Linked DNA regions of Tribolium castaneum. The protein of the gene in region 2 interacts with the protein of the main gene of each other region in a biochemical or structural test. Links are inferred from orthologs where the notes say so. Each region holds a gene or a part of one and is shown on either strand. Other genes may lie near its edges.

Region 1 (4,941 bases), on a different chromosome or scaffold from region 2:
ACTGATTTGTTTCGAGGTTAAAAAGCTAAAACTTACCTGGACGTAGTAGTAATTATAACTACTTTTGTACTGATTGTAATTGCTATTATTGTAATAATAATAAAAAGGATTGTAATCGTAATAGAAATTGTTAGCGTAGTGCTGCATCACGCTTAAATTGTAGGGAAAAGAACAATTTTTAGATACGTAAATATTATTTGTTCTAGATAAAGTGAGAATTATCAGTAGATAAGTTGGGTTTGTGAGAAAGATAGAAATACTTACCGACGAACTCTTTCCCACTTTTTGTGGTAAAAACCCAGGATGGCCATTCGGCGTTGTTACAAACGGACTTGTTTCTTTCTGTAAAAATAACTGCAGGATTTATTGACCTGTATTTTACGTAACTTGAAGTAGAGTTCCTATATTGGGAGAGTTGGGACACTGAATGTCGATTTTCGAAATTTTGTTTCATATACGTCGGTTGGAATGTATAAAAAAACAAATTGGGATAGAAATCAGTGGTGTTACACTTGAAATTTGGCGAAAAGTCAAATAAATTTGTCAAAAAATGTCTCCATTTTTCGTCGACTAACTGCGTTTAGAAATGGTTTAGACTGGCAGTCGTCGTCAATTCACTGTTTTTTTTATATAAACTCCAAATTTTAAAAGAGATTTCTTTGTAAGTACAAGAATTTTACGTCTAAATTCTTCATCATAAACATTTTTTCCTTAATTTTAAGAAATGGTAATCATCGATGAAAGAGAGAGAAACTGAACCTTTCCTGCCAAGTTTTACGTTTATTATTAACAAGCATTTGGAAAAGTGGATTGTCGAAATAATGTTATGTACAAAATTTATGAGATTTTGGGAATTTGTCTATGCATTTACAAAAGACGTAGGTACTTGAACCCAAAATTGGTTCTAATTTTTAGGAAAGTTGAACCTGTTACTGCTTGGCCGCCATCTACGTGAACTTTAGCTACTGTTTCAAATTATAAAGTTATTGGGAATTCACGATGTTGTTACGTTTTTCATACGAGAACATCTTCAATATCATTTTTTAGAAAATTTAAAAAGACGTCAGGAAATATGAAGGGTTCTTGATGACCAATTTTTGGGACGAGATGTTTAACTAAAAATTGTGATTGAAAGAAAAGCATTTTTAGCATTGAAGTATGTTTTAAGTTATGTATTTAATATTAAAATAAATATTGAAAAATTTCAGAAATGTGAACATTAATATTGATAGGTATTCAATTATTTTCTTTTTTTAAATAGTAATCCCAAAATTTCTACGTTTTCTACGTCCCTGATTTAATTTGACGTAAAATTATGTCATTTTATGCATTTGACAAAAATTATAACCTTGAAATTATTTTCAACATAAACCTCTGACATAAGTTACTAACAAAAATTTTAATAAAAAAGGATAGAAATATATACCTTATCCACATAATACAAAATTGGCTCGGTTTGACGTTCAGTGTCCCAACTCTCCCAATATAGGAACTCTAACTTGAAGAACAAATAGCCATAGAAACCCGATTTTGGGAAACTTTACTAACCAGGAAAACTCGAAAGAAATTTCTTTTGTTAAAAAAGTAAATATTTATTATTTAAGCAAGACTTTTACAGTCAGGAAATCAGATCGAAATTGATATTTTATTTATTTCACTCAATTTTACAGGTTTTTCTGTCAAAAATAAAGCAAAAAAATATAAATTGATTGAACACAGTAGTTTTATATAAATTCTCGATTATCTGTTTCAGATTTTATTAAAAATGATCGAAAAAATCACGAAATCGGATCAGAATAACATTACGATTTTGTCTTTTTTTTAATCATATACAATTTTTTCTCAAATTTTTGTAAAAAATGTGCTCAAAATCAAAAAACAGTTTGAAAAATTACTACATTAAGACAATATTTACATAATTTTTTTTAATGTTTTTATGTGTTTCACTAAGTCACTGAGATCTCAGAATTATTGCTTTTAATTTTCCTGCAGTAGGAATTAATAAAAAATGTACAAAATAATTTCTTTATCTTCCCAAGAATCCTTCTCTACAGATAAGAAACAACCCAAAAAAAATTAAAACTTACATTTGATCCAGATCCGGACCCTCCAGACGCTCTCAAACGCTCTAGAATAAAAATTATTTTTCATTTCGATTTTACCTCAAACGAAACGTGCAACAATGACTCAAAACACCACTACTTACCTTAACTATTAAAAATGAGAGCAAATGAATGAAAAACCTTGTTAAAGTGCAACTACTATAAGTAATAAGCCTAGAGCAAAATTTAGCTAATTTAAATTCTACTGACATTCTCCGCCCTGACTACGAAATCGAGTTGGCAACATTTTTTGTTGCCACCAATTGGTCAAAAAAAAAGTAGAAAACTGTAATTACAGTTTTCTTCTTTTCCATTGAATTGATTGATGATGATGGAAAGAAGCAAAGCTTAATTATTTTAGAAGAATGTTTGAAACTTCTGTAAAATGTTAATAAAACGAAGATTGCAGTTACCTTTCAATATGTTGAAAGTCATGGGCACGCCTGCCGACAGCAAATCTGAACAACAAACACAAACAAAGCAATCATCAGCACTATTCTACAAAAAAAGAGTCTACTATGGTTTATAAATGCGGGTGTTAGTGGAAAAAATAATTTATAAACCATAGCATTTAGCTTAGAATAACCTAGTTCATGCTATTATGACTTGTCATCAATAATTCAAAAATAATAAATAGCGTCTTACAAAAATACTCATGCGAACGGCAAGCTCCTTTACTGGATTTTACTCGAACATTTTCAAAAACTAACTGGAAAATCTACAGCAATTCGCGTCAAATTATAGTAATAACGTCAGAATAATAGATATTATTTGGAAAAATGCATTTTCTTGCAACTTTGTCTTACGGTTTGTTTGAGGGCTAGGCATTTGCATCGCTACTTGCTTGTAATTGGCTGGAAGAGCCATTTTTTCACACACACACTAATTAAATTAGATCTAAAATTGAGATTCTTTTAAAATACACAACACTTTTTACACAAATGACGCCATGTTGACAACTGACAACGAATTGGAGAAAGATGCAAGTCGTTCTCTCTCTATTTTCCAGCAAAGCGCCACCTACGATACAAAAAGCGGAAAATTCAAACAATATTTTGTTTCCATTACAAAAAACCCATCAAAAAGCATTTACAAGAGTACAAAAAACACACCAAAGATTTGCCAGCTCAAAATCAAGCGATTTACTAAGCTGGGCCAAAGTTCAAAAATTATTTCCTATTTTTTTATTGCGATCAAAATCACACGTTTTAGTGCAATTTTTTTGTTTTTGATAATATAATTGGCGCCATATTTCAAAAAAAAAAAAATTCAAAATAATGTTAGAACTATTTTTTCTTTAATTCATAATTTCATCACCACCCGTGAGACATACAATATTTTATTTGATTTTGTTGACGCCAACGTGACGCTACGCAACTCCCTAAAAAATTCGAAAATTCCAATTCCATTAATGTTATTTGCTGAAAGAAATTACATGTCACACAAATGTACAATTTTGTAAATGTAATGCCACAATTGAGTTTGTCATTTTTTTGCCACTCTAATCAAATTTTCGAATTTTGTGATACACTGCCATCATTTCTGCGCATAATCAATACCGGTTGCCTGGATCCATCCAGTGAACGCCATAGCCCTTTGGAAAGCCGTCTTCAAGTAAAAAATTTCTCAAATAAATCAATTCGTGTTTTAATAGACAATGTAACTGTTTTATTTTTCGGTGCGATTTCAGTCTGAATGCTTGATGTGATATGAGGCCTAAAAAGTGAGTAATACTACCCTTTTCAAATCCCCAAGAAACTTAAACAACGACTGCAATTTTTCAATAAAGCAACGCGACAATTGAGATATTTTTAGAAACATAATCGGGCGATTTTTTAAAAGTATTTTTCATTCATTGTTGTACCGCGTGGTACATTTTTCGAACATAAATCGGGTACATTATCGTAGGTGGATGACGTATTCTAGTTCCAAATCAATAGCGTCGCGACGCTCACTGTGTGACTCAGTTTCGACTGAATTGTGATCCGGTTCATTTGGGTGCGAACGGACGGACTTTTCCTAATGTAATTTAGGTAAAAAAACACTCAATCACATATTTTTCTCGCGAAATACTACAATTTTCCAAAATTATGTTCCTTTGTAATTTGTAATAAAAAATCAAAAGACAAGTTAATGCAGAAATTTTAGGATCACTTGATAGCTCTTCAAGAAAGAATCAATCATAAATAAATAAAGTCCGAATTAATTATTAAAAAAATAAAAACAAGGAACTCCTACAATTCGGGAAAAATTTTAATAACAGTGGTAAAATTATTTTAAATCAATTTCAGTGCGTTTTTAATCTAATGTAAAAGGTGATGTTTTAAAATCGTCAGGCTCTATAGAATTTTTAGTTACGGCCCGATTTTAAAAATTAAAAAAGGTATTTAAACCGCTTTTAATGTAGTATAAGCTGGTGCTTTTAAAAATTTTCTAAATATCATAGTATATTTTGGGCTGTATTCCACTAGTTTCTTTTAAATTGTAATCTATATTTTTCTTTTTATAATTTGGTAGATATTATTTTTTATACTAAAAAATACTATTTAAAAAATTCACAAAATTAAAAAAAATAATAGTTAATCAAATCTAGTTGTATGATGTCAAGTAACAGCCGAGTGACAATTGTCAAATAAACGTCGTTAATAGCCAGAGCTTTAAAACTTTGTATACGATCTAAATTGACCATTTCTTCAAAATGGTTAAGCTTCCGAAACTACAAAAAATTTACGACAACTTTGAAATTTTAAATAATAACCATACATTTTTACTGCATTTTTGAATTCACCTTTTTAAACTGAGTAAAATTTATTTAAGTTGTTGGCACCTATCTGTCATA
Region 2 (4,941 bases):
CACGTCGTTGCTTAAACCCTCGCCGGAAATGTCTAAATTGATCCAACCGTCGTACGAATTCGGGAAGTAGTACCAATGCATCATAACCATCTTGTCGCGTTTGAAGACCGGACGGCCGTATTCCTCCTCCACCGGGTCCACAGGGGGGTAGCAAATGTGCGTGGCCATTTCTTCAGTTTCCGCCACTTGAGCCATTTTGCGGCACACGATTTCGCGTAATTTGGCGGCGAGATTCTTGTCGATTTCGGGCCGGATGTAGACAGACGGAACGGTGTAGAAGCGGTTCTGGACCAAGACCTTCTCCATGCACTTCAACATCTCGAACACGCGCTCCAGCTTGCCCGTGCTCTGTTATCAAAAAACAAATAAAATGTTCCATTACCATCTAAGTTTTCAGAGCAATGAATTTGAAAAAATGATTTATTTGTGTAACGGTTAGCATAATAGAAACAAAAAAAATACAGGCAGATAGAGCATTAAATTCTAATTAGTTTGCTCAGGAACAAATAATTAATTAGTAAATGGGGCTCCGAGTCGTTTTACGTGTAGATCACTTTTTCGTAATTTTTGGCAAACTGGAAAAATTAAAACATCCAAAACTACGAATTATAAAACAAACGTGAGGACAGATACGGAATCCTCAGTCAATTTTACGTAAGAGAGGCATATTTTTGACCTATATTTTTGATTATTGTGACCTTGATTATTTTTTTATTGGCAGATAAGTAAATCAAAATTTTGATTAAGTTGTTTTATTCGATTTATATTCAGAATTTTGACCCGATTGTTACTAAATTTTGTGCAAGAATAGGTAATTAATTAGTAAAGAGGGCTACAAGTCGTTTTTAAAAGTAGATTTATTTTATTTGTTTTTATTTTTGGTAGACTGGAAAAATGGAAATCCGCCGTATATCGTCTAAAATATCTTCAAAACTACGAATCGTAGAACAAAAATGAGGAAAAATTTGGAATCCTCAGACAATTTTACGTTAGATGGTCATATTTTTGACCGATATTTTTGGTTATTGTGATCTTGATGATTTTTTTATTTGCAGAAAAGTAAATCAAAATTTTGACCAAGTTGTTTTGTTCGGATTATTTTCAGAATTTTCATTAGATTTTCACTAAATTTTGTGCAGGACTAGATAGTTGATTAGTAAAGAGGGCTACAAGTCATTTTTACGAGTAGTTTTAATTCTTTTTATTTTATTTTTTGTAGATTGGAAACATAGAAATCGACCGGATATCATCTAAAATATCTTCCAAACCACGAATCATAGAACAAAAATGAGGAGAGATTCGGAATCCTCAGACAATTTTAGATTAGATAGATTTTTTTTTATTTTTGGTAGCTTGTAAAAATGGAAATCGACCGTATATTGTCTAATATCTCCAAAACTACCAATCATAGAACAAAAATCAGGAGAGACTGGGAATCCTCAGACAATTTTACGTCAGCTAGACGTAATTTTTACCTGTATTTTTGGTTATTGTGATCTTGATGATTTTTTTATTGCCAGATAAGTAAATAAAAAATTTCACCAACTTGTTTTATTCAAATTATTTGCACAATTTTGAATCTATTGTTACTAAATTTTGCACAGGAATAGGTAATTAATTAGCAAAGAGGGTTACAAGTCGTTTTTACGACCAGATCTAGTATTTCTATTTTTTTATTTTTGGTAACTAAAAAAATGGAAATCACCATACATCAGTTAATATCTCCGAAACTACGAATCGTAAAACAAAAATCAGAACAGATTTATCAGAACAGACATATTTATGACCTATATTTTTGGTTATTGCGATCTTAGTATTTTTTTATTGACAGATAAGTAAATTAAAATTTTAACCAAGTTATTTTATCCGGATTAATTGCACAATTTTGACTGGATTGTTACAAAATTTTCCTCAAAAACAGATAATTCATTAGTAAAGAGGGCTACAAGTCGTTGTTACGAATAGATCTATTTCTACTTTTTTAAATTTTTGCTAACTAGAAAAATGGAAATCATCTAATATCTCCAAAACTACAAATCGTAGAAGAAAAATGAGGACAGATTTGGAATCCTTCGACAATTTTACGTTAGACAGACATATTTATGACCGATATTTTTGGTCATAAGATGATCAATTAGCAAAATAGGGTTACAAATTTAGCTGAGTTTCAAACCAAAATTTGTAGGTTCCACCGTACAGAAAAAGAAATAATTATGGAAAATACTATTTTACGCCAAAGTTTTAAGACAGGATACTCACTTTGCCTGTTGGTATCTCAAACCGGCGCCAATTGTGCTCGCTCTTGAACTTGTACGCCGCCAACAGCATGTGGCACAAGGCGCCCCCGGGCTTAAAATCCATAAAATACCGCACCGGGATGCGGATCATGGGCGGCTTTTGCACATTTTTGCCCAAAAAGTCCTCCTGGAATTGCATCAATTGCAAAACCAACATGGAGAGACTCTTATTAGTGACAGGTTCGGCTTGAAAATACTGAAACAACCACAATGATGGGGGCACTCACAGCGCTCAGAACCTCACCTTTTTGCCATTCTTCTGCAGCCACTGCCTCACAAGCTCGAGGGCCGCGAGGGTTTCCGGCGATTCGAAGTATTTCACGTTAGGACCGCCGTCCTTTTTGGGGCCGTAGCCCATCATTTTGCCCACAGAAGAATAATTCCCGACTTACGAAACTACCGTATTACTGAGACTTAACTAAATTGTACATTACTTTGGTAAACTTTACAGAAATATACAAATAAATAGCGTAAATTTAGCGAAATAAACCGACGCTTGAATATCACAATAATGTCAATTGTCAAAATGCGAAGTATGGGCAACCAGTAATACGTTATCCGGGGCGGGAAATTTGAATTTCGAGCGTGAGCGTGTTTGCAACACGTGCCCACGCTTCACGGGCCGATGCACGTTCACTGTCATGGACTGGAAACGTTCACATGTAGGGAAATAACAGATCAAAACAACTTATGTAAGCCGAAACGTGTGAAATGAGCGGTCGTGAATTTTCCTGGCGTTACCTAACAGCTCACGTGAAACGTGACCGCAGCTGAGGCATTTCCGAAAAAAATCGGGTCTTCGCGTTGTCTGAAGCTCGACGGGCTTATGCTGGGCCTCAAACGGGGGCGAAACTGCCAGTTTTGGGGCTCGGGTACCTCGCCCCCGTGGCCAAAAGTTTCGCTCTGATAGGTGTAATAGGTAGGGATCACGTGGGTCTCCACGTTACTTTGAACGTGATCTCTGGTTTGGCTCATGTGCAAACAAACAAACAATCCCCGCGTTACGTTCCGGTGCACGAATGAGCTCGCAGCAGTGGCGTGCACTGAAATTTTTTGGCAAGGAAAAAAAAACAGTTACAAAAACTTACCTCTTTGTGATCTAATTCAATTCTCCTCCCTTTTTCCTAATTCCGTTATCACGACATGTTTATACACAATATTGAAGTAATGAAGCACCAAAAATGAGAACATACTAGCTTACTAGCATAGGATATACAAACCAAATTTTTGCTTCTATTAACGTCACTTGGGTAAAAGTTACAAATTAACAAAGCTGACGCCTATACTAGGTATTCGGTTCAGAAAAAAGCTTAAAAATAAAAACGAGCGCTTAGAGTATTATTATTAGACCGCCTCGTCTCTAGATTGTTTTAAATTATAATTAAAACTTACGTAACTGTGAATAGTTCATTCATGGATGGAGAAAGCGCAGAAACGTTGAGAAGCCATTTTTTTTTATAAGCTAACATCAGAAAAAAATCATATTTATAGTTTTACAGAATAGTTTTGCTGAAATTGGTAAATGATTTTATAATTAATATAGTTTATAATATTTTTTTTACATTAGCTTTATTTTTTTTTATTATATTTTACCATTCCCCTATCTGGCGTTAACTTTCTTGTGTGTCCTGTGTTGACTGATATTTAAGTTCGCGACTTTATTAGAAAAATTTTCCTAGTTTTTAGGTCTAGCTCAACTAAAAAAAAAAAACACTAAAAAAGCCTAAATTCCTTGTCAAAATACCTTTCATTTGAGGTATTTCGAATTGTGAAGGTGTTGTTTTTAATTTTTTAATACAAAAGAGGTAGGTGCTACAAATTTCGAAAGGACACTAACAGGTGTCCCCTGTAAATAAAAATTGACCTGTTTTCGGATTTACTAGTTTTTTTGTTTGTTTTCTAACATCCAGGGTGATTCGTTAAAAAAACAATCAGTTAAAAAAAGGATCATTTTTTATCACTTTTCATAATATTTTTTCTTCATGAAATAGAGCATCTTGTTTGAAATATTGTCAGTAGAGTTCAGTTCTAACAGAGATTTTTCTTTTACAAAAAAATCAAGCGTTTAGAAGTTATTTCACCCCAAAATAAAATGTTTTCAAAAATTGGATCACAAAAATTATTTATTATTTATTATAATACAGAGCCGGCTCTACGGACCGTGAAATATATGGACGGAGAGGCAAAAAGGATCCACAAAAAAAAAACTTTAGGTGGTCAATAAGAAAAGGGCTAAAAATTTAATACAATCCATTTTGAAAATGGTAACTTTAACTGAGATTTTATTGCAAATGGGTCTATAAACGCTAAAAAGTACACCCTATTCTATTAAATACAAAGATTTTTGAAATTTTTTTTAAGGTTTGGCGTTTAATTGATTTTATTTTATCAAAATTTTGCAAAATATTATTAGCATTTTTGGACAAACAAGCTGTTCAAATATAAAGCCGAGTCAAAATTTTTGATACAGTTATGTGATTTTTCAAACCTCGGTGATACAGTTATCGGAATAATTGCGTTCCTGGAAAAAAAACCGTGTTATATAACGTAGAAATGGTAAAATTGTATCATTTTCGATTTAATTTATTCATTTTTCAGCCAGATTTAGCAAAATTCTGATTAAAAATATTTTTATTTTTTATTA

The links. The genes of interacting proteins can lie anywhere in the genome.
Region 1: the proteins of mor (region 2) and Bap111 form a complex in vitro, tested with the Drosophila melanogaster proteins (2 studies listed by BioGRID, with this or other methods). The link is inferred for Tribolium castaneum from reciprocal best matches to the Drosophila melanogaster genes mor and Bap111.

Annotation. Positions count from the first base shown.
Region 1 is NC_087402.1:571,500-576,440, reverse strand, and holds the start of Bap111 (SWI/SNF-related matrix-associated actin-dependent regulator of chromatin subfamily E member 1), read right to left. Parts: upstream 3,084-4,941; 5' UTR 2,970-3,083; coding exon 2,909-2,969; intron 2,561-2,908; coding exon 2,516-2,560; intron 2,468-2,515; exon of another isoform or gene 2,207-2,467; intron 2,129-2,206; coding exon 2,088-2,128; intron 829-2,087; exon of another isoform or gene 723-828; intron 662-722; exon of another isoform or gene 383-661; intron 355-382; coding exon 265-354; intron 202-264; exon of another isoform or gene 148-201; coding exon of another isoform or gene 37-147; intron 1-36.
Region 2 is NC_087395.1:15,650,633-15,655,573, reverse strand, and holds the start of mor (SWI/SNF complex subunit SMARCC2), read right to left. Parts: upstream 3,373-4,941; 5' UTR 2,659-3,372; coding exon 2,542-2,658; intron 2,494-2,541; coding exon 2,260-2,493; intron 349-2,259; coding exon 1-348.